Lepisosteus oculatus: one gene and its partners. The protein of the gene in region 3 interacts with the protein of the main gene of each other region in a pairwise test. Links are inferred from orthologs where the notes say so. Each region holds a gene or a part of one and is shown on either strand. Other genes may lie near its edges.

Region 1 (7,668 bases), on a different chromosome or scaffold from region 3:
TTGTCAAGCTAAGGGATTGCAAAGCCCTTTACGTGTTAGAAGGGATCCAGTTCATCGATCTCTGGAGCGCATCAGACACAGGTGACGCACATCAGACATTCTGCACCAACATCCCCACTACACAGCAGATCAGGCGGAAGAGTGAAAAACTTATTCTCCAACTAAAATGAGAGTAACTTACATTTACTCTTACAGGATCTTAAATGACCAAGTACCCAGGACATCAATTTTAAAACTTGGCAAAAGGCCAGCACCTCCTACAGTAGTGCTTATCAACCCTGGCCCTGAAGGACCCTTATCTTATTTTCAATAGAACTTTCAATAGGTCATGTTATGTAATCAATTAAGATCCTTTTCCGGTTCACAAGAATGCGTATAAGGTTATTAATCAATGTCACCTCTGAACCCTATGTTCAACACCTGTCCTAATTCAAGTCTATCTAGAGGACACCTGAAGAACATACAGAGGCTCTTTAAGATGGTTGGATTGATATAGCACCATTGCCACATGTGGCTTAACATCCAGTTAAGAACTGTTTTGACAGACAATAACTTAATAAATGAATGGAGGGATAACAGTGTTCTGTGTTTCTGAAATTTGTTGAGATCATGTTATGAGTTACCACATACCTTCCTGTGTATTTCTGTAAAATACTGTATTCTGTGATCCATTTCTAAAGAACTTCAATTATGTGCATCTGCCCTGAGCATTTAATTCAAGCACCTCACCAGTGGGCATAGAGTCAATTCAGATGTGGCCTTGGAAACGCCAAAAATGCTAAGAAGAACAACATCCCAAATCCCAAAATTCTTTTCAGAAGCAACATACTTGATTGTAGCTCTGGAGCCAAAGTTATCACTAAGCACTTTGATACAGCCATACAGAACTTTAAAAAAATCACACATGGGTAACATAAAATGCATAACTTTAATACTTTTCCGTTCGGTCGACAACTGTCATCTAAACTCTCGGCATGAAAGTTGACCACTTTCAAGACTGCAGTCAGCGATACCAAGGGCAATTATAACCACACATCAACCTTCCTTTTCAACAGAGGAGAATGTGTCATTGCAACTAAAACTAGTACCTCAAACTTGACTACAACATTTTCTCAGAAAATGTCAATGTTTTATCCATGTCTGAATTTATATTTCCATCCACAGATTAAATGTATCTCAACCAAAAAGTTTGTTTTTGCTGTAATCATAGGCTGTGACCTGCCTGTCCTCCAGGACCTTTACATCTCCAGGACTAAGAAGCATGCTGGCAGGATCATTGCTGACTCCTCTCACCCTGGCCATCATATTTTTCAATGTCTCCCATCAGAGAAAAGATTTAGGTCAGTTAGCACCAGGACCACAAGACACAAAAACAGCTTTTTTCCTCAGGCAGGTGAGCTTCATTCTTTTCACTTTCCCTTCTGATCACAACATTTGCCATGTGATGGCCAGTCAGACACAGAGATCTAATGGCAACATTTCCAACACTGCTCACAGATACAAGTACCAGCTTTTTTCCTCAGGCAGTGACTCTTATTAATCATCCCTATTAATCACTGAAAGTTACTTAAATTGTGTTATTAAAATTGAATATTGATTACTTAGTTTTCAACCACGGCATTATGTGCATTAATAATATTGTCTGTATATGGATATGTATAGTATGGACAGTTAATTTATCATTTACAAATATGTACATACGAATGGGGTTATCACACAAAAGTAGAGTTCTGACACATTCTTGAGGTGCAATATATATTTTTCTTTAATTTCTGAAATGTATATATGGTATGTCTGTATGTGTATAGTGTATGAGCAACTCACCAAGTCAAATTCCTTGTAAGTGAAAACTTGGCCAATAAAGTGATCTGTCTCTATATGTATAGCAGACATATCATCCATAAATCTTGTACAAACTGCAACAGATGTTCTAATGTTGAGATCTGGAATTTTCCATAGTTGGTCATTTGAGAGAGTAACAAGAGTGGCGCCTTTTCAATCTATTTTGAAATTTAAATAGGGAAATTGTAATGACGAAAGTCAGAATATTTAATTTGAACAGGACGTGCAGTTATAAGCATTAAGCTTTTCTATCTAAAATGTATGCTCCTTGAAAAAATAAAGAAAACAAAATCAGTGTTACGGAGTGTAACTAGATCCCCGATCTTAATGCCTCACAGCTTAACTACGTCAGTCCTCGATAACGAAGCCAGACTGAAACTCGATCACAAACCTCAGTCCTTATGAGGAAAGCGGGAGACTGGCCCTTAAAGGGAAATGCTTCAGCAGGAGCACGAAGCGTACAAGGCGGTATAGAAAAATACATCCATTAAGTTACATCATAAAAAGCAAAAACTGATAACGCACCCTGATATTATGAAGAAACTTTGTATTGTTCCTCGTATTTGGATTTCAATCAAGCAATCTATTAGTGTGCCTTTTAACAGTGTCAACAAACGAGGATGTAAAAAAGCAACAACGTATAAAACATGCAAATTGTTTATCTCTATGCCTGCATTTTGTAAGGCTGTGCGTTTCATTCAGGTGTTTCATTTACGAATTTACTGTGTGCTGCTAACAGTTTTTTTTTTTACTGTCCAATATGTCCCATCAGCTGCTTCCTGTAAACCTACCCCCATTTTAAGGGGCGCCCTGCTAAATTCTGGTGAAAAGTTAATTCATAAGCTCCTCTAAAGAAACTTCGTAGATGCTCGGTGCCTATTTAGACTTTTCAGAGAACTATGGGTTCATGGTTCATTTTTTATGCCTTTCATACGCTGCAAGTCATAACGCTGGACACTGGAAGGGCGTCTTGTTGATTCACGTCTCGGTGTGTTACGGAGGGGTTTTCTCAGCGCCATGTTTCGCGCCGCAACGTCCGCCACAACCAGCCCCGGGCCTCGACCGCTCTGCCCAGACAAACCCGGCCAGGCCGCATCCGGCACATAAACACGACCGACACGGAGAAAATTCGCCCCTGTCCCTTTAACGTTGAGGAGAAACCTGCCCCCTGTGCCTCCATCAATCAAGCCGGGCAGCTGCCTAGCCCTGCCCTCCTCGCTGCGCCGAGCAACAGCAACGAGGCCTTGCCAGCAGCTCCCTCGCTTTTCCAGAAATTTCCCTTGAAAAAGACGCTCAAACCGGACATATTTTTCTCCCCTTGTTCAAAAACGTAGGGCGTTTTGTACCCTCACGCTGACCCACTCCGAGCCACCTCCCTACTATGCCCTGGTACTTGCGATAGGGCCGACGGCGCTTTTCTGCGCGATATTTGATTGATAGTGAGCGGAAAAAGAGGATTTTGAGTGACAGCTTACCTGGGTGCCAATCTTCGTCACACTGACAAGCGGCTGCAGCAATCGGGACCCGCAGCCGCCGCGTGGCGTCATCGCGCCGCGGGCACGCAGCTCACGGGATAAGGTGGGAGGAGGGATGACGTATGGCGTGCACGCGCACGCGCACGACCCGGGAGCGGATGCGATGACACGAGTCTTCTCTGTACTGCAGGAACAAGCTAGCACTGCAGTACGTGGCTCAGAGATTTACTGGTTAATTTGAGAATAATCCTATCTGCATTTTGTTTGCAGATTTTAAACGACATTCCTGTGTTTACATTTTAGTTTCACATAGTCCAAAAACCCAAAACGTGCTAGTTTTAGTTGGTGTTAACGTGAGTGAAGACTTAGATGTGTCCTGCAGCTGACTCGCACCAGATGTCTACCGTGTCAGGCTCTGGCTCATCGCGGCCTTCTTTAAAATAAAGCAGTTACTGACAGTATATCAGTATATCAGCTCTTTGAAAATGTTACAAACAATTCAGTAATATGCAGTTTAAAATTTAGTCTTTGAAACGTGTTTTTAATATAGATTTCTAGCTTCTATGTGCAGTGAATTAATTATATATTAACACATTTTCTAATCCGTAGACCCCAGGTTATGTTTTTCTGTTGTAGAATGCGTTGTTTTTATATACTGTTATAAGAACAAAATGGGAAAAAAAGGTTTGTGACTAGACTAGACACCAACAGTTTCCACTACAGTCCTACTGTACTTGGACGACGTTCTGACTGATGTGTAACTATGCCACGAAGTGACCTGACCGTATTGTTACCCTAAGCCTAGACAAAAGCTTCGCTCAAATAACGACAATGACAATAACTGTTGTGAGCAGCTGGAATTGGTGTTATTCTTTATATATTCTTCGGACCAGCTACCTGTTATCTGCAACAAACTCTCTGATTCGTTTTGTAGAAACACAAAATGTTAATGCTTACACTGACTTCCAAAGATCCAAAAACCGGATCCCTTGTTTATATACTCACCTCATAAGCAGTTTCACGTTCATCAACAGAAACAGCATGAGCAGTTCGTAGCTTATCCGTTGCTCTGGAGGATTACAATTAACACTATAATGTGATGTTTATGTGATTGTTTAGATGTCTCTAGGTTGAGCAACATTTCATTATTGAATTAAGAGTGTGAAACTCGCTAAAAATCATAGCCAAATGATTCAAGCGCATTATACAGTAGTAGGCATGAGAATTATTCAAAATAATTTGTCTACAGACAAAAGGTTTTTAAAAATCACCATGTTGTAATTAAGGTATGAATATGTTTTTATAGTCATAAAAATTCAAATGGAACAGTTTTTCTAAATGGAATTATATTTCAAATTGTTTGCTTCAGGACTGAAATAGTTTAGATGCTAACCAATCAATTTTTATATATTAGAAGATTTAATATTCAGTTATTTTTGTGTGATTTATTTTCATACTTCTGTTAGTATCTAACTGAATCCTAAAGCCAATTAACAGTGAAAGCAATAAGGACTAAGAAAATGCAGATTTAAGATTGAAAATTAGGGGTTCTGGATGCCTGGAACCACACTGTCCTTCTTTGTTATTGAAGCAGATTTACTGGGATCAGTAAGCTACCAGAGCTGGTCAGATAGTGAAACGGTTCATTTAAAAGCTCCTTTATACATTCATATATTTGTGGTCTTTAACTCTGGAGATCTTGGGCTGTACAGGAAAGCCAGGTATGACTTGGAGAGGGCCATCAGACATGCGAAAGGGGACTACAGAGACAGGCTTGAATCACAATGTGGGGGCATTAACACAATGCACCTCTGGAATGGCCTGAAGGCTATCACTAATTACAAAGGACAAATAGGTTATAACAACAGCTGATGATTCACTGCCTGACCAACTAAACAACTTCAATGCGAGGTTTGACGCTTCACACAAAACGCCCATTGAGCCTGGGGAATTTGTGCTGCAGCTGTCTGAACAGGAGGTACAGAAAGCTTTCGGAAAGGTGAACCCACGCAAGGCTGCCAGCCCTGATGGCATCCCATCCCCCTGTGTTTTAAAGGCATGCAGAGAACAGCTGGCCCCTGTCTTTACTGTAATATTTATCACGTTACTATCCCTGTCTACTGTCCCACTGTGCTTCAAAAGAACTACTGTCGTGCCACAGCCTAAAGCAACCAAGTTGTCATGTCTGAATGACTACCGCCTGGTGGAAGTCACCTCAGTAGTCATGAAGTGCATGGAGAAACTGGTGAGGGGACACATCGACAGTATTGTCCCGGACTCCCTGGATCCCTGGAGTTTGCTTATAGGAATAATAGGTCAGTACACGATGCTGTCTCACTGGCTCTTCACACCACTCTTGAGCACCTGGACTAGAGGAAAACCTATGCCAGGATGTTATTTATTGACTTCAGCTCAGCCTTCAACACAATTGTGCCAGGCAGGCTGGTGGTCAAACTCAGGGGTCTGGGCCTCAACAACGCCATCTGCAACTGGGTCCTGGACTTCCTGACAGGCAGACCCCAAGTGGTGAGGATTGGAAACAAAATATCATCCCCTCTGATCCTCAACACAGGGGCCCCCAGGGCTGCTGCCTGAGCCCATGGCTGTATTCTCTATAACACATGACTGTGTGGCTAGATTTAACAGCAGCCGCATCATAAAGTTTGCTGATGACCCCACAGTAATCTGTCTTATCAGCAACAATGATGAAACCACCTACAGGAGCAAGGTAGAAGAGCTGGTGGAGTGGTGCCACAACAACCCCACACTTATCATCGGCAAAACAAAAGGGATTATTGTGGACTTCAGGAGATATGGAGGACTTCACACACCGATCCTCATTCACAGGGCTCCAGTTAAAACTGTCAGCCCCTTCAGGTTCCATGGCCTCCAGATCACTGAGAGGCTGAGCTGGTCAAAGAACACTGCTGCCATCCTCACTAAAGCCCACCAGCGCCTTCACTTCCTGAGACAGTTAAGGAAGTGGGGGATGAGCAAGACAACACTCACCAATTTTTACTGTAATACCACTGAGAGTGGCCTTCCAGTGTGGTATGGTGGAGCCACAGTACAGGACAGAAAAGCCATACAAAGGCTTGTGAGGTCCTCGCAGTAAAACATTGGGACCGAGCTACCCTCCATCGACCAGATACATCTCGACCGCTGCCACAACTATAGCTATACTTGAGCTATACATTGGGACCCAGTTGACCCTGGCCATGATCTGTTTTCACCCCTGGGTTCTGGTAAGAGGTATTGCAGTATTAGAACACAGACCAATTGACCAACAGTTTATTCCACCCAATCATAAACAGCTCAAATTAGCACCTGCACTTTAAGGTACTACACTGTTTGCACTATGTCCTGTCTTGCCTGTATTATAACATATATTCTCTAAATTTATTGTCCATGTCTGTTTGTCATTTGTGCCTATTTTTTTTTTAATATTACTGGGTACAGCTGAAAGAGTAAGCATTCCAATACTCTTGTTGTTATAAAAAATATTGAATCTTGAAAATACTTGAATTACACATGTGCGATATGATATAGAAAAGGGTGCTCAGTTGACATTTGATCTATATGCAGTTACAGTGCATGACAAACATTTGTCACCGCTTATATTACCTTAGAAAAAGGAACCTGAACATTAAGGTAGTGTAGAACTCTGATCTGTTACCATTACAACACAATGGAATACTGCTACACACTATATGGACTTGCACACAAATGCAGATATTGTTCCCTTATGGCTGGCATCACTAATCATCAATGGGTCTTCCACAATAACAATAAATGTAACATACCTTGCATTTGGATTTAAACTTCCAGGAAATTGAATAAAATTATACCTTTTTTGAATGTGATTTGTGTTTACAATCCACTTGCTTGTTCAGCTTACATTTTGAGATATTGTAGGCTATATTCAGAAAACGTTAATGTCTATGTGAACTTTTTTAGTATTCCTAGTTAATAGTCAATGTTTAAACTGTTTTTCCTTATTGAACAAGTGGTAAATGTGACAGAAGGTTAGGGTTTTAAAATAGTCCTTTAACTTTTTCAACTTACCAAAGACACTTAAACCTTTTAACAGCACTAAAATAAAATACATTTAGAATTCCTGTCTTCCCCCTTAGATGTACAGTAGTAGCACCTCAGGCACCATGGGCAAGCTAGCTACAAGTGCTGAGTTACAAATGCAATGTAGATCATTATGAATGTAACATACCATTTTGATTTTAACAATGGGAACCCTCTGGGGAGTTCACTAGGCATGAAAGTCAGGTCACCACTCTTGTAGCCTGTTATCCATATTGGCTAAAGCTCTGAGAAAAAAATAGCTCTCTCTTTGCAA
Region 2 (7,983 bases), on a different chromosome or scaffold from region 3:
GTGGAGCCTGGGAGAAAAATGTTCTAGTAAAGATTTCTAAGAAAAAAGGAGTGCTTGTGTCAAAATGCATGTTTCTGTAATGCCTTTTTCCCTTTGGACATCTGACTAATACATGTTAACACACCTTAGTGGATACTTACAGTCATTTCTAAACTAAACTGCTAAAATACCTTAGAGTGCTTAAGCAATTGCTGACATGCCTTGGACCCATTAAACAAGATTTAGCTTGTACAGAACATTTATACACAGTAGCTCACAAAATTATAATCTATCAATGATACCTATTTTAAGCTTATTGAACACTCAGCAAATGATGCTAAAATTATAATACTGAATTAATAATCTTAAGAGTATACTAATGGCAACTAAGAAAGTTTCATTTTCTTATTTCCTTAGTGCACAACAAGCCGAATGCCACCAGGACAAAGAAGGTCTCCTTTTTCATTGGCATGTCTGGTACTATACTGTACATCACTTTGAATTCCCAAAACATTTGTAAGAAGTTTTTTTTTTCATGGGGTTTTTACATGGATAAAAAACTCATGAGTGATAAACCCATTTACATAGGATTACTGCCCAAGGAAGAGCGATGAACAGTTTATAAAACAGGTTGCCTTGGGGGAGAGGAGACTGTTATAATGACACACCCCAGCACTCAAGTGTCTTACACCTCCCTGGGCAGGTGCCCAGAGTCACAGACAGAGATTAAATTCAGTGTCCGCTACAACTTATAATTAAAACAAACGCAATAAAACTTTTGATTTTTGTCAAGGATTTTTGTCACAGTAAGGATGGGCTAAAATTCCACATCAACATGTTTAAGCGCATACTGAAGACAGCCAGTGGAAATCAAAGCATGTTTTTAGCTCCATTTTCAGCTAAGTCTCAAGTCTCAGGGGTCATAGCTGGTATACTATACCTGTATGTTTTATCTAAAGTGTTAGAAGAAGTAAATATTATTATATAAAAGTAAATGCAGTGTTCTGAAACTTCTTATAGAAAATAAGTAAAACATGGTGTTGCCTTCAAAGAGGTTCATGGTTCTTAACCTTTGGAAATGACAGAATGTTCTATAGTTCTGTGTCAACAACAGAACATACTAACAAATGGTACCTAAAAACTGAGTATGATATCATAATAACTGATAATTACCATCGCCTGATCTCATTGATCAGGGAAAAGCATTTTACTTATGGAACTGATTCATACGTATTTGCCATACTATCCCTTACATACTATCAGTAATTGCTTCTGGAAAGCCTTCTAAATCAGAACTGTACCATGAATCCTGTATACTTCACCATTGTCCTCTCTTTATATTTACCCAAGTAAACAATTTTTTAAAACCTTTTTGCTGTAATAATTGTTACATGTCAACACTAAATGGCAGCACATCATTTTAAATAAGCATAACTTAAGGAGGGGACTAAAAATGTCCAACAAAAAGTAGATACTGTCATCTGCTCTCCTAAGGGTCACTGATTACTTCCTTATTGTCACATGGGCGACAGAATCGCAAAACACTGAATATTGTTGTGCTTTTTTTTTCTTCTGCAAAGAATGCAACTGGGATTCTTTGCTGTTTGGTGCCTGCAAGCCATTTTCAGTTCACCAAAGAAATAAATGTAAAACTTCTTACCAGGAAATTCCAGTCAGTGTTGATCCTGTCAACAAAGCCCAGGAGAAAGACAAGGAGGTATGCAGTGGAGAAGGTAAACATGGTTACGGACACAAACATAACCCAGCCTTGTAACAGAGGCACAGGGACATTGGAAGAGGCCACAAGAATCCATACCAGACCTCCGAAGACCTGCATGAGAAAAGAAAACTTCTTTTAACATGTACTACTATAAATAGCTTTCTTTGTCATTAGGAAAAAAATAAAAATCATCCTTTTGGATATTTCACCAGCTGCTTTTTCACTATTTTCATTTTCAAATATTAACAGGCAAAAAAAACCAACTAGAGCTAATAGAATTTTCACTTTTAAATGTCTCTTTCAGACATTGTGCACTCATACATCACCTGTGTACAAAGAAATACATAAGATACTTTTCTCCATTTTGATCTGGAGTCCTAGACTGTAGGCTTTGTGAGTAATGTTTACAATGTGTCCAATAAGTATTAGAAGAATGTTAAGTTTAAGACCCCGGTATTTTTTATAAGGTCTTCAAGTGACTTTGTCGTTCTTACACCAAGCATTAGTAAAAAGTTCTCATTGCTTTCGTCATTATGAAGTGTGGTGGTTTTACAGTGTTACACCAACGCAAGCTTGTAATTAGGTCAGTTCTTACCGTTGAAATGTTAATTATTGTACCACGCAGAACCAGGTAAATCTTGCATTTAGTACTGCCCAGCCTATCCTGCAACAATACCTTCTTAAACAACAGCTTCAGATGAGTTGTTTAGGTATTTAATAACAAAGCTGAATAAGTTATAATACATTATGTTGTACACACTTCGGTAAATATTAAAAGTATACCATCCACCGGAAAAACACCAAATGTCACCGGAGAGGATCTTCCACAGCCGTGCACATTCAATTGTACGGCAAGTTTTCCAGACCTCCGTGTTATTTTAAATGTGGGAGTGGCAGGGCTAATCCTCTTAGCTGGGTTCTCGAAATCTTCATTTTACATGTAATGTCGGAGCGCTGTCATCACCTCATGAACTTAACAGAAAGCACCACGTTTCTTGCGAGTTCTTGCGCCGCTGCTATCAAAAGCAAAAAAGCCAAATGCCTCATCGGTACTTCCAATATTAAGAAGAAGCAGAGACGAGATCGTTTCACTCGGTGCTTCTTGTCTGGAATATGAAAACACACACTCGAATGTACTAGCGAACCACGGCGAGTGGCTAACGTTTGTAAGGAAAGGTGTTCAGAGTTTGTACACACTTACTATTTCTAAGCAGACGAGAGCCCCCGAGTACGTTCTCAGCACCTCAGGTCCCGTAGGCAAAGAAATTGTAGCGGCTGGGAAGGACGTAGCCGGCGAATTTGCGGGTACAGACATCCTTTTCTTAATTCAGAGGTTTCTGTTCAACAGGGTCAAGATCCAAATCAAATTCCTGCCGAGTCACGTGTCCTCGCAGCCCAACAGGTGCGCGGCCACGCCCATTCTGTCCGTTCGGAGCAGCGACACCGCGTCTCTTTGAAGGAGACCTGGAGTACGTGAAGAGCGGGTATAGACTGTCATAAATAATCCTGGAGTAGCCGAAGTACGTATGTTTAGCCATCAAAACCGGGGTAAACAAATGAATTACGACTTGTTGCTCACTTGTAATAGTATCAGTGACGTTTATAGAGAAGCACGCACATTTTATAGATGAGGAACAAGTAAAGATTTATTCCAAAGGAACAAGTAATAGGTTTATTCCATGCTGGGAAAAAAGAAGAAAAAACACAAAGTGTTTTCTTTCTTCTTCTTTCTCTTTTTCTTTTTTTTTCAGCATGGAATAAACCTATTACTTGTTCTTTTTCAGCCTACGCATGCTGACGCAGCTACCTACCTGAAGATTTATTCCACGCTGAAAAGATGAGAGGAAACAATGTTTTGGCTGGGGTGCCTTCTTCGAGTGTGTTTTTCTTTTGGCTTGTTGTTTCTTATTTTGCTGATAATTGGCATTGTGTTTATTGTCTTCTGTTTTCAGCATGGAACCTTTTCACCACAAACCTTTACGTGTTTCTTTGCAGACTACGCATGCTGACGCACCTACCTTCTTGAAGTATTTTATAGATATTCTTTTGAGTTAAAAAAATAATATTATGGCAAGAACACGGACGTGACTGGCTTGAAGTGTATAGAGAACCACAGTTAAGTTACAAATGAATTTTCAAGAGATATCATCCTATGGACACCAGTACATTATACTACAAATATACAAAAAATGAGAATATTGCAGTCCATTACCAAAGGAATTTAAAAAATACATATTCTTTTTAATAATGTTAATTTTTTTAAAAAAGTTTTAAAATAAAAATACAGTGTATTCTAATTTTTACCTTTAGTGTAATAAACATTTGAATCAGGAGTTCGGTATATCTTGGTCTTTTAAACTGCTTCTAAATGTTTAAAGTCAATTTTTCACATAGTTTTAGGTACAGTAATTTATACAATCAAATGGAACAATAACACTATCATCCTACATGACATTTCTGGAATCTCAAAAGAAGTGAATTTATGACATATATATATTTTCTGTAGCAAGAATATCATTTTGAACAACTAAAAAGTATGTCTGTCATGCTTGAATCTTGGAATTGAAATGTCCTCAATAGCACTGATCAAAGGAATCACATATTCCTACCTTCAATTCAGTTTATTAGGAAAACCTTAGATTCTGAATTATTGTATGTGCCATCTACTTCTCAGCTTAATCCCCGGGAGAATATAAATACTCCTTTGACTGTTAAAAGGTTTGGATGCATTCTGAGAAGCCATGCTCAAAAATGCTGTCCACTTAAATTTGTATCTGAGAAAGAGAAACAAGTCCAGTGGTGAGCATAACTGCAGCAGCTCCCATGAGCTGCCATTCAGAAGCCCTGTTGACATGGCAACCAGGAGCATCATCTTTGGAAGGGGAACATGTGACATTGTCAAGCTAATACAAAGTTAAGAAAACAGAGTATATTCCCAAAACACTCCTCAGTGTGTATGTGTGTTTGCATATTCCCTATCCAATTCAAGTTTATGTTAAATATGTATTTGCACAGTGGTTATATACTTTATAATCCTAATTTAATAAATTAATACGAATAAACAAGAACAAATCCGATACAGTCGTAATTATTTAGTTCTTGCCAGGAATATTAACATTTCCTGTCAGAGTAGGAAAGGACATGTTTTTGTTTCAGTTCAACTGCATTATGCAAGTCATATTGGCTTCATTCACAGGTTAATCATTCAACAGTGTTGTTTACTCAGTTTGGGATAGTGGTGCCTTTCATAGTTTGCTAACTCTGACACACATAAGAGGTGAGTGAAAAAATACAAGGCTGAGCTGGAAATCCAATAACTGCTGCATGTCTATTTCCAGGAGATTTCTATTTTTATTTATTTGATTAACAAGTAGACATATCATCTTAGGATACTTACAAAGTTTTGTGTTTATTGTGTAATGCTTGTTTTCAGAAAAATAAATTCTACAGGTACAGGCAGTCACATGTTCTAGTACCAGATGACAATGTATCTTTTTTTCAATATTGGATTGATTCAAACTACACTTTTTGAACCCGAAAAAGAGAGTTGTGAAAACATTAGGTCGTTAAGTTTGTCAGAGCATCACCAAAAAATCTCACTTCCTGTTAATAAAAGAAATTTTAGAAATATTTGGCCAATATGGCTGTTTTAGTTATAGTAGGTAATTGATCTACTGTAAGTATCTCAATCAGATGTTTACTCAAAGATGTCAGGGTGCTGGCTTCAACAACATGACTTGAAAAATAAACTCATCTATCACAGTTGATTCTGAAGGTGTCCACTGGATTAGTTTTGTCAATACTTTCAATGATTTCGCATTCTCGATTCTGGCCCCCAAATTCTCTGTGTAAGGCTAAAAAAACATAGACTTTTTTAGCCTAACAGCACAGGCTATTCTTTTAAGCCCTGGAATGTACTGTACCTTTGTGGTCTTCTTCGAACATATTCCAAAGCAGCAGCATCTTTTTTAAGATGTGGTGAACAAAGATATTCCTAGTACATTGTGAAAGTTTTACAACACAGCAATTGCTTTAAATCTGACACTTGTAACTGTGTCTTGTATCGTTCTGTTTACGTTTTTAATGCTTCCTTCTATTGCCTAGAGATGGAAAATGATGTATCAACACCAGCCTTTTTCACAGGCAGCTTTTTCAAGTGCAGCGATTACCGTACAGTGATTTTAGGTTTATGCTGTAGTTAATGTTTTTACCACCTGCTTATCAATCTTGAGGCGTTTAACCAGTACTGAATTTTACTGACTTTTTGTTTTTTTAAACGAGAAGTAAATGACTCATTATAGAACAGGTTTGATCTTTTTAGTAATTTTTGCTTTTGCTAAGAAATTGCATCTCAGTAATGGTGAAATCATACTAAACTGCTTTCTCGGAGTAGTTTAATTGAATGTGTTGTAGAGCCCTGTGGAGATGTTAATAATTAGCTGCAATATGAAGGCAAAAGCAGCTTCTGTTTAGACAAGAAATCACAAAGTGCACTGAAGTGTACATTTTGATTAGCTACTGCATAATTTAAAGATAGAGTGGAATAGGTAATTTGCAATTTGCTATGCACATTCATTGAGCCATAAACCAGTAAAAGTGCTGCCTTTCTGTCAATATGGATCTATAGCAAAATAAGACAGAAGTGGGTGGAGAACAGATTTGGGGAAATAGGAGCTAACAACAAATGACAAAGTGTTTTTTATCTATAGACCCTCAATAAACATTGAAGCTTCTGTACTCCATGATGAGGAAGTAAAGAAAAACTATAATTCATTTAAAAATATTTTAATTCTAAAGTGCATTAAATACTTTCTAAAGGAAAAGGAAATCCGACATACAGTTTACAGTATTGAGTTATGAAACATTAAATATAAAAAATAAAGCAGGATTTAAATGGAAATAATTCCACTGTATGTGTTTTCATAAAAAAATATGATGCAGGTGAACTAAAAAGTGTTAGGAGTAAATGGTCTGTTTGGAAAGTAAGTGCTGTAGGATTAAATTAATCAGATGAGTTTTGTCAGTGCAAACTTTAACTCATTGTAGTGTTAAAAGGATGGACAGCTTGTTACTCTTGGAACAGGATGGGTACAATATCCAGATCCTGTTTTGAGTATTCAAGGAATATTATTTCATGTTCTATGCCCTTTTATATGAAGAGATTAAATCTTCTTAATAGAAAAAAGTAGGGATTAATTTGGTGAAAATTGGTATAAGTGTCATATTTCATCCTTGTATAATTGTTGCTATGGTGCTGCATTATTACTGCTAGTGTGGATCCACCTGAGGTATTGTTTAGGTCTTATAGTTAATAAACCATGAAGAAGGGAAAAGGCTAGTGGATCTCATGAAGTAGCAAACCCAGGACCATGCCTGATGTCTATGGTTCAGCAACAAGAATTCTCCATAGAAAGCAGCAAGTTTCTTATATTGTCAATGCATTTATTTTCTTTAAATGATACAATTCAGCACAATATCAAATGTTGTTTTAAAATCTAGAAAGCAATGGTTTACAATTAAGAAAAATCTAAGGAGAAAGAAAGCACATTGTAGAATAATTAAAAAAGAGCAGCATCAGGATAAAGAAAATAAATATAATGAGTGACACAGATCAAAAATGTTGTATGTAAGGCCAAAAAAGAAAAGACTACTGTACAGTAAGTGGTGCTTAACAGAAACTAATAATTTTTTCAAAACTACAACAGCAAAAGTTTAGTAAAGGATGGTGTCTTGGAAACAATACTGGGAAATATTTATAAAATGAAAAGAAAATGGCTGATATAAAATGAATATTTCATTCAGGTGTTTAACAAGGAAGAAGTCAATGACATGCCTCAGTTTATGAAATGTGTAAACTAAATATTACTAGCATAGAAGAGGCAGAAGTGTTGTAGGTACTAGAAACACTTAACTGGAAGTAAACGTTGCAGCCATGATGGTATTCTACCAGCTGAAACCTGAAGTATATAGATTACTTACAAAACACTTTCAGCTGTCACTCAAGACAGGATAATCCCCACTTATTGGAAAAATTGCTATTAATATTACACTTATCCACAAAAAAGAGTGACGAACCAAATCAAAAAGCCATTATAAACTGCTAAATCTTTCTTCTATTGCATATATGATTATGGAGATGATAAGTATAACTGGAGATAATGCGAACTGAAAAGTAAAAAGCTGTTTGTATGGTAGCCGGATACTAGGGAATTATCAGCATGGAGTTAAAAATGTAGGTTGCTTAGAGAATGTGTTAGAGATCTTTGAACATGCTACAATACTAT
Region 3 (7,960 bases):
GGACAGGGGGGAAAAAGCAAGATGGCGGCAAAGACGCGTTTTCAATTGAGCCAGGAGAGTGCTGCCCTGCGCGTCCTCGCTCGTTACTTCTCCTCATCGATTTCTGAACATGAAAACAAAAATGTGCCTTCCTTACCTGTTTTCTCTTTAATTTCGCAGAGGACGCTGAAGAGCGCAGGTTTCATCCTGTGGCAGTTCAATCCGTGTTTCCTATTACAGTATACGGCAAGAAAAAGAAAACATGATATACAACACTGCAAAACAACTTTAAAAACACAATACTGTGCACATCTCCTCATTTCCTACCCGCCCGCTTTAATCATCCCGTCTAGCGAGCATTAAATGAATATTCCATTTATTTATTTGTAATAATAATAATATTGCCTATCCCTGATCAAATGAACTCTTTTCGGCAGGTGACGGGCCACAAAATTCAGATTCTCGACATGAGCGTTAAATTCTGCTGCAAACAGTAATTTCCAAAGAACCTAAAATAATTGATCAGATCCTCAGATCCTAGTTTATTACAGCGTTGTTGTTTTACAGTGAGGCTGTAGCTCAGTGGGAAAGAGGTGACAATCGGGGGTAAAACACAGGTTACACAAAACCACACGCTGAGCAATTGAACTTGAGCTTGAACAAGTTCTTATTTAGCAGTTTGAAACGTTGTATTTTTTTTTTTCAGTAAATAGAAATTATTCAGCCTGTTTTTAGAATGATTTCTATACTTTCGGACCAGGCGTCTCCGGGTCTTTAACAGGTAACAGTCTGTAAAATGCTGGGCTACAAATGTATCTTGCACGCTTGCTTGTTTTTACACTGTGCACACACATGTACATAAACATCAGCACCAGGGCACTTTGCAACAATATTTCTACAATTCCTCTGCTTTTCAAGATTTTAAAGACACTACTCCCCGCCCCATAAATAAGGACTTCTCCGTGAATTTAAAAATAAAGAGATAAAGAGAAAATCCCGATTATTATTTTTTTACTACGATGACAGCCGGGTGTACATCCGAGAAGCAAGAAAGATACTTTGCCTCCCGAGAGTTAAAGAGAAATGGCACAAGCACTACAATATAACTTATCTACATTTGCCCCCTTGTCCCGCTATATTTAAAAATATATATATACCACACAGCCAATAAATATGACCATTGTGATCCATGCGATTCTAATTTTAGTAGCGACAGCATAACCACTAGACTGGCTCTAAAGGTTCATAATAGGTTAGCAACCATACATGCAACAAATCTGAGGTAATTTTAGAAAAGGAACCAACTTTGCTTGCGCCTCGTCCAGACTTTGGTCAGTAATGGTCATTATTTGGTGCAGAATGTCCCCGATGTCTTGTTTCCTGCCGTCCCCGTCCGTCCCTTCGTGTCCGTGCGGGGGAGGCAGGGACATCCCTCCCTGCACCGAGTGGCCAGCCAGACTGACACCGCCGAGAGTCTGCATTATCCGGGACTGCTCGTCCATGCTCTGCCGCAGCACAATCAATGCGTTTCTCCGGGAGAGACAACGCTCGGAGCCAGCAAGGAAAATAAAAAAGGGGGGATTTGCGGGACAAAATCACATACAAGGAGGAATTCGGTGGGCGCGCGGGAAAGAAAGAGAGGCTGAGAGGAGGGGAAACGGATCAAAAAATTAAAAGAAGCAAAACTAAGAATCTCTATTTGTATAGCAGTAATTGTACCGGCAGCAATCGCGTGTCCAGAAATCACTTTTTTCGCGTTTGTGGGGTTTTTTTCTCCCTCGATCCGAAGTAGCTTTAGAATTGCAGGATCAATTTTATGCTGGTAGTTGCATTGAGGCACCGATATCAATTCTGTACTTCAGTTATTGATACTTCGGCAATCGGATGACAGCTCGCGTGTCTTGACCGTCTTCAGACCTTCTCGCCGGGTTTTGCGTGCGATTTGGCGTCTCGTGCTATAGCTCCCTGCACATTGTTTTCATGTGTTTGTAGAGTCTTCTTTCGGCTTGTTCTCCCCGTGCAAATCTTCTTGCAAACTTGCCAGAATCCCCATTAAACCAGCAGGGAACCCCCCCAAAAAGACCTTTCCAAAGCTAAAGTTGCACGCACAAAAAAAAAAAGAAAAAAATGAAATAAAAATTAAAAAGCACAGCAAAACATGCTCTACCTGTCTACAGCGTGCGTCTTGCTATGTAACAAAGGGTAAAAATACCCAACACATAAGTAAAATCAAATTTGAGAAAAAAAAATATAGATATTTTAAATGCCCAGGACCAGCGGCGGCGACAGTAAGAATGATGGTGATGATGACAACAATTAAAAAATAAAAACACAAAAAAAAAGTTTTGGAGCTTCTTTGAGGGGGGCGAAAAATAACAGAGGCCCCAAAAAAAAAAAGAGAGAATCGCCAGAAAAAAAATAATAAATTAATTACACGCTGTAAAGCAATGCGCAAAAAGATCTGGCTGTTGAAATTTATGAGCCCGGATCCCTGACTCTGTGTGCTTTATGGTGTTTGATGGCCGCACTAGTGAGCGATTGACAAGGTGCCAATGTCACTCACTCAGTGCAGACGTGTCAGACCGCGCGCAGAGAGGCAGCATCCCAATGAGAGCGCGCGGCCCGCCCACGAGAGGAGGGGTCTGAGTCCGTGGCGCCGCCGCGCGCAGAGACCCCGGCGAAACACACCGCTCGAGCCACGCTAATGGCCACAGTGATGATGATGGTAATAATAATCACGACACGCAGGGAACGCGTTAAATAAAGGACGCGTCCTCCTCCACACCCCCCTCTCCCTCTCCCTCTCTCTTTTTTTTTTTGGTTTTTGTTCTCCTGGCTGCACTGGAAGGCGCTATATATGCAAAAAAAAATGCCCCGTCGGCTGACAGCTCTCACCAGCGCTGGACGGGCGCGCTGTGCACTAAAACAAACACAGCCAAGGCAGGAGGAGGAGGAGGAAAAAAAAGTCCACACACTTCAAGCCCCGAGTTTTATATGGTTTGATACAGAAGTGATAATGAATTGCTCGGGCTCTCCGCTTTTCAAGACCGCGGCTCTGCCTCCCCTCGCCCAGTGCTGCTCGGAAGGTGGGCGGGCGGGGGGCCATGTTCTCGTATCGCGAAGAGCCGCCGTCCAATCCCCGCCTCGGTCGGGGCCTGACTGACAGCGGCGCCGGCCAATAGGCGGGGAGCTCTGGCAGGCTCCAGCCCGCCCCCAGGGTCCGCCACCTCCAGCATGGCCGTGCAAGGCAGCCGGCAACTTCTGATTGGCCGTTGCCACGGGTGACATCAACCGCACGCGCAGGCGGCGCTGCCCTGTCCCTTGCTACAGTTGCTATGGCAGCAGACGAGCAGAAAGGAGCGGGGATGCGAGGATGTGCGCATGGTAGCACCACGAGCAGGCGTGCTCGCGCGGGGCTCTGCTCGTGGGGTTTTTCCTCAGTAAAGGTGACATGTTCTCCAAACCCTGACCTGACCGCTCGGTAAAGTCATCCCTCCGGACACTCAGAGTAGACACTGAAATGGCATTTTTTTTTTATTCTTTTCCTTTTTCAAATAGATTTTATTCTCTGAAAGCTACACACTTTTCTTCTAACGCCCCCAGACAAACTCGCCGAGGTATTTTCAAGAAGAATTCACTGTCGCCCGACGGAGAGAAAGTACGTGGTAAATGTGTGTGATGTATTTATGCATTAGTCCACTTGCACTGTTAAACTGAAAACGAGTTATTCTTTGTAACTTTTAAGGGTTATTGTTATCACCGAATATCCCATCGTTTATTCCTGCAATCAGACCTTAAATAGAAAAAATACTAATGAATTATTATCATTAATGCAAATAAGCAAAAACTAATGTTGAGAATTCAGGAAAGATTATATTTGAAGGATTCCTGTTCCCTGATTTCAACAAACCGTCTTAGAAATTCAATCGGATTTTTTGTTGTTATCACAACACGTTCTTCCTAAAATATATTTTAACAGTCCAACCAGGCTAGTGCACCAGCTCCCTGTTTCTGTACAATTTTAGGCTGTACGTTAAATATTTGTTCACATTTAGGTTTTTTTTTTTAACTGTGTTTTACGTGTGACTCACTACAGCCGACAAGAGGTACAGAAGTGAAGTTCTGAAGTTAATTTAGCGCTTGTTGGTCATCCAGCGTTTTATAGTTTTGTGCAGAGCTGCCAGAAACACACGAAAGTACAAACACACGCGTGTGTTATTTTTGCAAAGTTGGCAGGCGGTGGGGTTACACGATGTTCCGCTTACTGGAATAAACGTTAATATTTTGCACATTGCTAGTTTTTATTTATTCTTACTTTTGAAATACCGTTAGGGAACAATTGCATTACAAATAAGTCCTGTAAGTGTCTAAAATCAAATTTTACGAATAAAATAAATGCTTGATTTGGAAAATTAAAATAAAAAACATACAAGTACGCCCCAAAAATAGCGCATTCGGATAACTGGATAATTTTGCAAAATGGGATATATGTTATTTCTGACAGTTATATAATATAGCCCATTTATCGACTGTGCAATAAGCCGGACGTTTCTGCTCCGGGGTGCAGCTGACTGCCGCCTCGAGCTGGGGCGTTCCGCGTGTCTGCCTGCACGGGGCTGTGGACCAGTACCGGCTGCCCGCCGCGCGCGGGGAGGACCCGGACCGCGAGCCGCGGTTTGAACTTGACCTCGGGAGCGGAGGGAGCGCGCCGCTCGCCAGAGGCGTCAATAAACACGGCTCGCGGGTGGGCGCCTCGTTCAAGTTGTAGACGTGAAACCGCATCGGTCACCTTTCAAACCCACAGCCGCCGAAGAGCTAGCTAGCTGCCTAAGGGAACCAGACCGACTTTTCAAAATCCAGAGGACCCGCAGGGATCTTTGTGTGCTTATAGGCGACGGCCACAAGCCAGGACAGTATGTATTAGCCGCCGTCCGCAGCGCAGACACAGCAAGGCCACACGTGTCTTCCACCGATTTTACACACGTTTTCCATCGAGATTACCGGTAAAAACAAAACATTCTGAGCTATTGATTTTGAAAACCGTTGCCACGAGAGTGGGAGAGACAATTGTCATTTTTGTGTTTGTTTCACTTGACGCTCAATTTCTTTCTTGGAGAGTGCGTTGAATAATTTGTCCCATATAGTCCAGGAAACCTATGATTATTATAAGTCTGCCCAGCTTGTATTCACCAATGCAATTCCCGGTTCCGAAGCGCAGAGCCTAATTCCAGTGCTCTATCATCACTATACATGCTTGAACAGTCAGACGCGTTCAGATCCCCCGCAGAAATCCTAACTTACTGCAGAGTGCAGAGTAAGACACAGTGCGGGCTTGAAACCCGCGGCCGCTCGGCCCAGGTCACAGCCCGACCTATCTGCTCCACTACAGAATGGCCCTTAATTATTTAATTGGGAATGAGCAGGATCAATATGACAATTAAGGAGCTGGCGGTATTACAGCACGGCGATGGAGCGGCCGGGAAGCCGAGCAGCCCTGCCACAGTCTGTCCCCGTGCCGGCGGAAGAAAGCAGGGCTCTTTTTTTTTTTGATGATGATGGTGGGAGTAATTATCTAAAATTAGAGAGAGAGGAGGAAATAAAGCTGTTAATTGGAATGCACTTTGAAAGTCAATCAGACATAGTTCTGCAAATGCGCGAACACAAGACGGTACACTGAGAATTAGCAAACGCTGCGCCGATTCACAGACCGCGGTGCATGAATTGATTCCAAAGCCCTGCAGGCTGCCTATCCTGACACATTGTTACAAGGGGAATTAACATTTGATAATTAAATAGCAAATAATCAGATATGCATGGAGTAAAACTTCCTTTGGGAAAATCCTGTTGTTGGGGATAGAGGAACGCCACATTTTTTCCCCCTCTTCCTCGTAAGAAAACGCAACACTCCCACCAGACGACGTGCAAGTGTTTCAAAGCTGCGAAACGCGGTGAGGTGAATGATGTTTTCATTTGGTCAGGATTTTGGAGAGGGGTCCACATTTTCATGTTTTAATCTCTGAATTCCCAGGTTTGCTGAAACACGGAAGGTGAAAGGGGTGAACTCTCCTGACGTCGAGGACAGCAACAGTAATGCTTGTCGTTTGCATTTCAGAGACGAGAGACTTTTCTCTCCGGCCACAGCAGACAAGGGGGGGCATCTCCGAACTCTGCAGGAGCTGCGCGGCTCCAGTATTTTGCTTAAATACTCCAATTCCGGACGCCACTGAGGAGATCCTGCTGAAGGAAAGGATTCCTGTCTTTTCTGCCATTTTTTTTTCTAGAGGTCAAAAAACTCCTTGTTCTGTCGTAGTGGCGTTTGATTTACATGAGTCTTTATATACAATGCATGGATAGGCCCCTGAAACACTTTGCAATCAACCACATCACAAGATTTATAGAGGCCAGTATGCTTAAAATATTAGGAATTTATATTGATTCAACTGTTTAAGTCATTGATTAAATGCTGTGGCATGATGTTTCGACCATATATTAGTCATTTTGTGTGTTTACAGTGTAACTGTGGCCTGAGAAAGAATAATGCATTTGCCTTTCTGTGTATTTGTCACATCTCACGGACAGGGACAATGCAGGGGCCAGATTTTATTGCTGCATCAAAGCAAGTTTATATTTTATCACCCCCTCCACCACACACACACACTTCCAGCTCAGGACAATTGTGTGTTGTTTGTTTCTTAATTGATTGACGGTGTTACTAATTTAGTAACATGTTTCAAAGCAAGCGGAGTAAAACAATTTAAAATTTCAGAGCTAAGGTATGGGGGCGAGCAGCACTGGGGAAAAGCAAAGCCACTTAATATTGCATTCAGCGCCTTATACTTTTAATGAGGCTGGCAACCGAGATTACCAGAGGAATTAAAAAAAAAGACGCTGCACTAGTTTCACTGGTGATTTAAGAATGCTGCATTTCACAGTGAAAAATAAAAAGCAACACATGAAAATACATTTAAAAATATATGTATAACGAGGAAGAAATTTCAGATCAAAGGAAGCCACTGTACAGTACAGGCACTGACAAAGAAACAAAGCAGTGCGATCAATTCCTTTTAATGCAATTTCATGACACTTAATATGGAGTTCTTACTGTATAGATAAATTGGTTATGTCCACGGTTGTGCAGTATTTCTATTAGGCTTTATTCTGCCTAAATTAAATTTCCCGGTTGGGCTCTTTAATTGAGCCCTGTTCCCTAATGACAGAAGAGTGAGGACTTTAGAAGGAAAAAAAAAAGATTTGCTGATAGAAGAGCCTTTGATTTTTCCTGGTGTTTGTAAAAAGCATGTCATTTTAAATCCGTCCCCAAGCTGTTCATCCAGAAAAACGGCCTTAAACCAGCAACTCAGAAGAATTTGATTTCGGCAGTGGCCTCTCCTTTTTTCCACAGTTATGGTTAAACCCTCAGCAGTGCACGGTTCTGATCGGTGTGAGGGGGTGTAAGCTAATCACTAAGGTACACTGGTACCCTGGGCAACTCATCATGTGTCTTCTTCCCCAAATATTTTACCTTATTAGCTTCTAATCCTTGCACAAGATCGTTTATTTTTAGATGCTCATAATCCTCAGGGTGAACAAATTGTTAAGGCATCATGAATGCCCTGTGCTATGAAGCTCAAAGCGTACACAGTGCAGAACTTAGTCATGTGAAGTTGATCTCTGTTGCCAGAAGACACTTGGCGCTTAGTGTTTGCTGAACAAAACATAGGATGTCAATACATAAAATGCTCCAAAGTGCATTAACTGGTATAAAGCGTTGTACATTTTTTAAATTAAATTGCTTCCTCCTTTGTGCACATTTCAGAATCTTTATCAGGAGAGAGCAATTTAAGCAATCCATCATCACTCTCGCTGTTTTGAAAAGCAAACGTTTCTAGCATTGCCATCTTCTAAAAGGGCTTTTAATTATGAAGACAAAGGGGCAGTCAGAAAGTCTTTACCTCCAAAGAGCCATTAGCATCTTTTTTTT
Region 4 (7,616 bases), on a different chromosome or scaffold from region 3:
GCAGGGTGGAAAACATTGAGAAACACTGCTCTAAGGTACAAAGCATCCAGAAAATCCTTTCTGAGTTCAAGGGAAATGTAGCGTCTGCAGTCAGGCCTACTCAAGTAGAAACTCCTTCAACTTGTTTGGCCTGTTACAATCCACAGCAGTGTTTGGTAGGTGTCAAATTCTTAATACCAAACAGAAATGAAAGAACCTGTCTCAACGACTGCATGAGAACAGGCCGAGGCTCGGGAGCAGACCCACAGCCAGGCCCCGACCCAGAGGAGGCCCTGTGCTTACCGAAGGTCACGTTGCAGTCGCCTCCCCTCTCCCGGTACATCTGGTAGACGAAGAAGCAGGAGGCGGGCTTGAGCAGCAGGCTGAGGATGGCCATGCCGGCGCAGAAGCGGAACGTGTCCCTCAATCCGGGGGGCGTGCCGCTCTCCACTGCGGCGTAGTAAATTCCCAGATGAATAATATCGGTCAATATCGTCACCGCCATTCCGGCCAGAAACTGGGAGAAGGCGTGGGAGTGGGTGGGAGAGAGGACAAGGTAGGTAAGCACTGGGAATCACGCTGGGAAACACAACAGCTAAAGGCTATTACAGGAAGCTGACCGAAGTGCAACTTTTAAACCGTAGGAAAGCAAATTAAAACCAAATCCACCACATTGCGTAATGCATTACAGTGTGTGTCTTACGGACAACGTCCTGATTCCTGTAAAGTTAAATGGTGCAATATCTCAAGAGGTCGCCGCATTCCTCCATGTGGGCTGTGTGTTTCTGAGCTGCTACACATTCACAACACTGTCTTCCTTTTAACCCGTTGTACAACAACGCAGGTTTAATTTGGAGCAAAGGCTTTGCCGTGAAAAGGTGTCATCTTAGCTGATTGGGTGCATTCCCCAACTTGTCAAAAAACAAATATGCGGCATCGTTTTCAAGGGAGCATGTGGAAAGTCTTCCAACTCACCATGAGTACAGCATCAATGGAGTCCCTCTGAGCGACAGCCCAGACGCCCACTGCCAGGACACTGAAGTTACCCCAAGCGTAGGATGAAGGCAGCCAGATGTACATACAGGCCCTGGAGACCAGCACAGGACAGCTCTACTTCAACATTCGCTTCACAACAACCCCAGAGCCAGATGTCTTACTGTGTGTTGATGCTAATAGCCTTTATTGCTACAAAAAAACCCATTGATTTCTATGAATTTCTATTCATACTCATACATTTTGCTAGTCTAAATTTTAAAATATGAATAATTCAGAGGCTTCTCTATGAGTGGCACAAACTGCAAGCATACTCATTGTGCCTTTTTGTCACTGTGCTGTATGACCTACCTTTCATACTGAGAAATTAAGAATACCACACAGTAATAAGCTGTAAAAAGGGCTCCTTAACTTATTGTGGAGTTCCATTCTTGTAACTATTTCATCAAAACTCCCAGAACATCTACAACCAATAACTTTGTACGTAACAGTGGACACAACGCTTTGCAAAACACACATTGTGTAAACTTGTTTCCTTTTTAACAGCAGAGAACTGAGTCACGTTACTTTCCTGTTGCAGCTCAATTCAACTTCACTTTCAGTCTAGGCTTTCTTAATCGACAACCGACGGTTATGTTTCTCATTAGATGCATAAACCACACAAGAGAATAGTTAAAAAGTGGTTAGGGTCATACAAATAGTAAAATAATAATGCAATGTTTAGTTTCTGCATTTTTCCATTATGGTAAACTATACATATTGTCAGAAATACCAAAGTTTCTTCCTCATTGTGGGAAATCTTCTCTTCTTTTAGCAAATTCACTGAATTAGGTACACAACAGAAAGTGTTTAAGGAATACGGACCTAAATCCATAATAATCCAGATTATCAATATAAAACCACACATATTACATACAATAAATATTTAGTTCTGAACCTCAAACCTATAATAAGGATTTGTAATAAACCCATATTGACTGGTCTTACAATATATATATATATTTTTAAATCAACATGCTTACTTTTCTTACTTAAAAGAAAAGGGAAAGGATATCATTCACTGCTTTGGGTGTCAACACGAAAACTCTGGGCAGCGAAAGAAAACCTAGAGAAGGCACCACTGCAGTCTTGAAAAGCAAAGAAAGTTATTTTCGGGTTGGGGTAGTGGAAGGTTAGAAAGTACATATACCCTCCTCCAAAAATTAAAAACGGCAGTAGGGCAGCCGGAGAAATTCCTCAGCTGTTTGAAAAGAAAAAAAATCAAGCCGCTTACCATACTGTCAGAAGCCAGTGAACCAGTATAATTGCCTGTGGGGAGAGGCAGACAGAGGTTCATTACAGCTATCCAAAACCTAATAATAAAATAATAATCCGGTAGTGGCAAAGAGTTTATTCAGCGCCACTCGCATAGATGTAAAATCAGGCCCCCGGACGGATCGCAAAATTGTCACTTCTTGTGTTGTGGATTTATGAGTTCTCCTAAACGTGTGAGCTCTACATTTAAAAGTAGAGATGTACAGAAGATAAGCCCTTTGGAGCTTGTGTGTACTTTTAGCGTGAACTACACGTAAACAAACTTTTATTTTCATTTATAGGATGAAATGTTCTACAACATACAGTTTAATCTAGGAAATCAACAGTTTTCTGCTGAAGACAGGATAAGAAATGCCACTAATTATCTCCTACGGTTTATCAGATTGAACTGACTGAATGCAAATTACAGAAACAGAAAGCAGTTGCACGTTGACGTACATTTAACAGACCTGTCTGTCTTTCTGTTCATGCACTTCTATAAACAATCCAAATTTTAATATTTACCTTAAGATTTATGGCTGGAATTTCCATGCTCTTGTCGAGTGTCTATCCACTCCCACTCAGCCTTTTTTGCTTTTGCGTCCAAACAGAAATCATATAAAAGTACAGTACCGTAATTTCTCTCTCTGAACTTCCCGGTCTCCGCCCTCCGTGGCAGAGCTGCAAACACAAACCATGTGACGGCAGCCTGACTCTCTCCACGTGACCGTGCCCACCCTGACAGCACCACGTGAACGTCAGCAGCCTCATCCCCCGCCTTCACCCACCGAAGGAATTGCGTTAGATGCGGAATAGTGAAGGGGTGTTGAAAGATGATTGGGTGAAATTCTGCTTAGAACCCTTTAAAGTTGCACTGCCCTTAAGAACAGGGTACTTTCCTAGTTCCTGGTCCTCTTGGTTCTGTGGATGTGGATGTGGATGTGGATGTGGATGTGGATGTGGATGTGGATGTGGATGTGGATGTGGATGTATCTTCATCCGTCTATTCTAATACCAGGGAGAAAGCAGGTATTTAAAATCCATATTCACTTAGTATTTGGTGTGTTTTTGCACTGGTGGTTTAAGGTGTTCAAAGTTAAAAAAATAAAAAACTCCTTTCAATAAGCAGGTCATTCTGTTGTAATGACAGCCCGGCCTCTGGTCACTGGTCACAGCCCCGCTGTGTGCCCACACACACTGGTTTGCTTTTTCAGGTGAGAGCACGTCTCTATTCCAAGCTGTTCACACCAGGAATTTCCCAAATCTCTGCGCTGAACAGACAACATACCATTACACTTGGAAATGCTGCCTTTTATGGCAGATAGATGCAATGTTACCTCAGTGAGGAGTGAGTTTGAGAAGTTAAGATTTTAAATATATGCAAAAGCATTTGTTACATACAGCAAGATACTTTGATGAAGTCTGTGAGTCATGAAGAATTGAGTAATAGGTGCGTTAAGCATTGTAAAATGTGAAATACACGCGTGGAATTCCCCAGCTGTAGTAAACCTTGATGACTGCTCTTAGTATAAGCTTACTATGAAAAGGTTCCTTAATAAAATAATTTGAAATCTGTTGATTAAAACTTCAGTGTTCTTAAAAAGTTGTCCTTGTTTAATTCATTAAAAAATCAAACTTGGGCTCAGTGAATTGTGTCCCCATCTTACATTATTTGTGTGTTATTACACTAGCAAGCAGCTGAAGACGTTCCAGATTACAATTTTAATTACTTTTGTAACCATTTTTTGCAAACCAATTAATCTTCTATTATTACAGCAGACACCGGAGGCTCCACATGATCTGGATGTTCATAAACTTGAAACAGAAGCCCGCAGCTGTCATGGAAACCTCTGCTGCTCCCAATTTCAGGAAGACTGGGGGTCTATAAATCAAAGAGCGGCGCACAGGCCCCACCGCAAGTGTGTGGAAATGTGTGCCATGCGCCTTTCTTCTCTACTTTAGTCTCTTCTTTCACGCCTGGCTGTTTAAAAACCTCCTTTGTTGGGCTACAAAAAGCACAGCAGATGGTGGGCTGGTTGTAAAGAGCGGGGTCCTGTGGCAGGATCACCCCTCCTGCTGACCCGGTGACCCCTGAGCTCGGTGACACTGCTCTAAGAGAGGGGGCGGTGGAGAGGCTCTGTTATACTCTTCCTCTCTGTCCCTGCTCCCCCATTCCTCCTGCAGACCTCCTCTCTCCTTGAGGTTCTGCTGGCCCAGCTACACCTGTTTAACGTACAGATTCATTCATTTTTTTCTGAGATGTGGGATCAATCCTTCTATTGTTAATGTAACGTAGCAACAAATTGTGGACCTACTCTGTTTTCAGCTGCAGGTGCACATGTTCTAGTGATCCTATTGCCTTGACCCAGGGCTGTATTTGACATGCGTGGAATGGCCAGCAGAAGCAGCACCTCCATAATGGCATTCTGGTACGAGATCTGTTTTGCTCTGGGGCAGAGGAATACAGACGAGGGAAGCAGAATACTGGTGATTTCAGGAACAGTTCGAAACAGGAAATGTCCATCTTCTGCCCGTGTGTCATTGTCCAAACAAGGTGTTTTTCAAAGAGTAGTGTGAAAGACAATCGTACCTCAGAATAAACAATTCAGTAATGAGAAATATGCACCTTGCTTTGTCTGATTGCTGGAAAATTACAGATACAAAAACGTCTTTAATCAAGCTGGGGAACACATGGGGTGTCAGCTGCCACATGTGATCTGTTCTGTGCTCATACCACTCCTCTTGTACATCATTGCCTCTCACATTTGCATCAGCTTGTATTGTACTGTGAAGATGCTCCATCAGCTAAGGCAGTGATTTGTACAGCAAGACATTTGCACACAATTACAGAACACCAACCTGGTGCTTCAGAACAGTCCTGGCACGGTGCTCTGATGTTTCATACAGTATATACTGTATATATCCATGTTCTTTCTTAAGGAGAATGTTTGAGATTCACACGGGGCTCAGATTCACTGGCACTGAAAAGGGGTCTCAGTTATACAGTATTAGGTAGAATTCTTGGAGATGCAAAACGCATCACAAACTCCTCAGCTCCAGCAGCCCAACACCCACACTGGGCGTTCATTCATTTGTTTTCTCCATTGTTTTTTTATAGTTTTCAATGAAAATAAAAAGAATACAAGTAGACACTTTGCAGCTAATGCATATGAGGAGATGGGCTGGGCTTGGCCACCTCACTATCAGAGGGGTGGGGCAACTCTGGAGTGCCTGGCAGTGGTATTCATTAGGAGCTGACCTGCAGAAGCACTGCAAAACTGTTAGGTAGTCAGTTACAGAAGAAATCACTTTTACTTCACACTAAATTGTCCCACTCCTTCACACACTCAAGAAATCTGTATTCATTGGTCAGGTGAATACAGAAGCTCTACTGCACACTTGTATTATAAATACTCATAGGTGTTGTCTTTGTTGTGTATGTAAGGGGTCAGCCCTCAGTCAAGCAGGTTAAGTCAAATTTTCATCAAACACCCCATAATCCCTTCAGGACGCTTAATTCTCGGGTGCTGTTATTCCTAGTGAATCATTTTCTTTTTATCGGACTTTTCCCACAAAAATGAAGTGCACCAATAATTAAACAAAGCAAAAATAAATATTTCATTGGTTTGTACTGTTATCCAGGTCAATTGCTTACAATGGAAGTTATTTATGTTTTGTTACTTTAGCAAATTTTATACCATATATTTACAGTACACTAAATAAAGAGCTAGTATATTTACATAAGGCACATGGACAATTTCACTGGCTGTGTTGTAGCCATTCAAAGTTAAAAGACCCAGTAAGCATATATATGTATGTATTTTCTACATTATTTAACAGACTTATACCTGACACCACTTTGCCTCTGTTAGTTCATAAAACTGAGGGTTTACTGAATTTTAAAATAGGATACAAGCTCCATCAACAAAATACATCTTCCCAAAGCACTGTATCCTTGTATCTATGAGCTAGAAAAGGCAGCACATCAGAGAATAATTTTGTCAATATATTTAGCTTGTCTTAAATTACAACTTATGCATGATCAATACTAAGAGTTTAGTGGGCCACCCAGAACTCAAGGTCATAACATCTGTGACATTACTAAATCTCATAAGTCAATAAATATCATTAACAGAGGAAATGCATCTTTATGTTATTACAACATGCAATAATAATGTACAGCAGTCTTGCTTATCTTTGACCTGAAATTAACAGAGGAGCTTCTGGAAAAAAGATCAATTTGCACATTTTAAAACTCTCGGGCTGTCTACAAACAGGCCTACAAAAGTCACTCTGTGAAAGATCTGATCTCAAATCAGTGAAATAAGTAAAAATTGTGTCTATTGTGAATGTCAAAATACCCGTATCTTCTTGTCGGGTGAGATAAATAGCAAAATCAATCATTTGATAAAAGTTTGCATAAAAATCAAGAGTTTCTTGGCTTGTGCAGGAAGCGAGAAAGGTGAAAGTGTATGGAACTGTGTGGGTGGTGGCAGGGGCAGTGATGAAGGCGATTTCAAAAGTGGGTGCAGAGGGTAGGACTACTAAAATATAGTACAATGGCAAAACAAGTTAGCCAGTGTGTGGCTGGTCTGGGAGTAGTTCATGTTATCCCATACAACACTTAGCTGCAACACTAATCCAAACACTAAACACAAGCCCTCCCCAACCCAATTTCCAAACTTTCATCCAGCCTAACCCTAATCCAGCACTTAACCATAGCTCCAAACTTAAACTTAACACTGACATAATCTTTGCTGTTTATCTTGAATACCTCCCACAGTGTAGCTATTCTCAAGAGGTTGTCTCTTCTCCTTACCCTTATTTTAGTTTTAACTCTCACATATACCCCAATCCTAACATTAAGCACAACCTTGCTCCAACCCTTAACCTAGGCCTAACTGAAGGTCTAACTCATACTCCAGTGCTACACTACATGAATTCAAACTCTAAATCCTAACCTTAACCTCAGCTCCAACCTTAACTCTGAGCCCAGAGCTAGAGTCAGAGACAGAATTAGGATTAGACCCAGTGGTGGTTTACAAACATTGACTGATCGCAACATTTGCCAATAATGTTTCTTCAAATTAAAAGGCTATGAAGCTTTTGAAGCAGATATTTCACATTATTCGCTTTAGGTTACACACATGCAGCTCGAGAAAGTTACTATACATAAGAAAACAGCAGTGTAGAAAAAAATATTCGATTCCAAAGAGCTTTTTAATCACAAACCTTGAAAAACACATCTCACACTCTTCTCTTGAGAACAGGACCCCAAGCTGAAACTGAAGATGAGAAAAACAGTTTTCTTTTTTTTTTGCAGGCATTCTGACAGCACTGGGAATGTGAGA

Evidence for each region.
Region 1: the proteins of pbx3b (region 3) and homeobox protein PKNOX1 interact in a two-hybrid assay, tested with the Homo sapiens proteins (2 studies listed by BioGRID and IntAct). The link is inferred for Lepisosteus oculatus from reciprocal best matches to the Homo sapiens genes PBX3 and PKNOX1.
Region 2: the proteins of pbx3b (region 3) and mal2 interact in a two-hybrid assay, tested with the Homo sapiens proteins (2 studies listed by BioGRID). The two-hybrid records come from large-scale screens. The link is inferred for Lepisosteus oculatus from reciprocal best matches to the Homo sapiens genes PBX3 and MAL2.
Region 4: the proteins of pbx3b (region 3) and agtrap interact in a two-hybrid assay, tested with the Homo sapiens proteins (4 studies listed by BioGRID). The two-hybrid records come from large-scale screens. The link is inferred for Lepisosteus oculatus from reciprocal best matches to the Homo sapiens genes PBX3 and AGTRAP.

Annotation. Positions count from the first base shown.
Region 1 is NC_090710.1:1,028,524-1,036,191, forward strand, and holds the start of homeobox protein PKNOX1, read right to left. Parts: upstream 3,413-7,668; 5' UTR 3,318-3,412; intron 1-3,317. UniProt on the Homo sapiens protein: Activates transcription in the presence of PBX1A and HOXA1.
Region 2 is NC_090705.1:11,455,032-11,463,014, forward strand, and holds the start of mal2 (protein MAL2), read right to left. Parts: upstream 3,152-7,983; 5' UTR 3,015-3,151; coding exon 2,901-3,014; intron 1,811-2,900; coding exon 1,640-1,810; intron 1-1,639. UniProt on the Homo sapiens protein: Member of the machinery of polarized transport. Required for the indirect transcytotic route at the step of the egress of the transcytosing cargo from perinuclear endosomes in order for it to travel to the apical surface via a raft-dependent pathway.
Region 3 is NC_090719.1:1,104,499-1,112,458, forward strand, and holds the start of pbx3b (pre-B-cell leukemia transcription factor 3b), read right to left. Parts: upstream 3,228-7,960; 5' UTR 1,482-3,227; coding exon 1,285-1,481; intron 211-1,284; coding exon 137-210; intron 1-136. UniProt on the Homo sapiens protein: Transcriptional activator that binds the sequence 5'-ATCAATCAA-3'.
Region 4 is NC_090720.1:5,640,863-5,648,478, forward strand, and holds the start of agtrap (type-1 angiotensin II receptor-associated protein), read right to left. Parts: upstream 3,052-7,616; 5' UTR 3,037-3,051; coding exon 2,899-3,036; exon of another isoform or gene 2,818-2,898; coding exon of another isoform or gene 2,791-2,817; intron 2,281-2,790; coding exon 2,246-2,280; intron 1,067-2,245; coding exon 955-1,066; intron 497-954; coding exon 283-496; intron 1-282. UniProt on the Homo sapiens protein: Appears to be a negative regulator of type-1 angiotensin II receptor-mediated signaling by regulating receptor internalization as well as mechanism of receptor desensitization such as phosphorylation.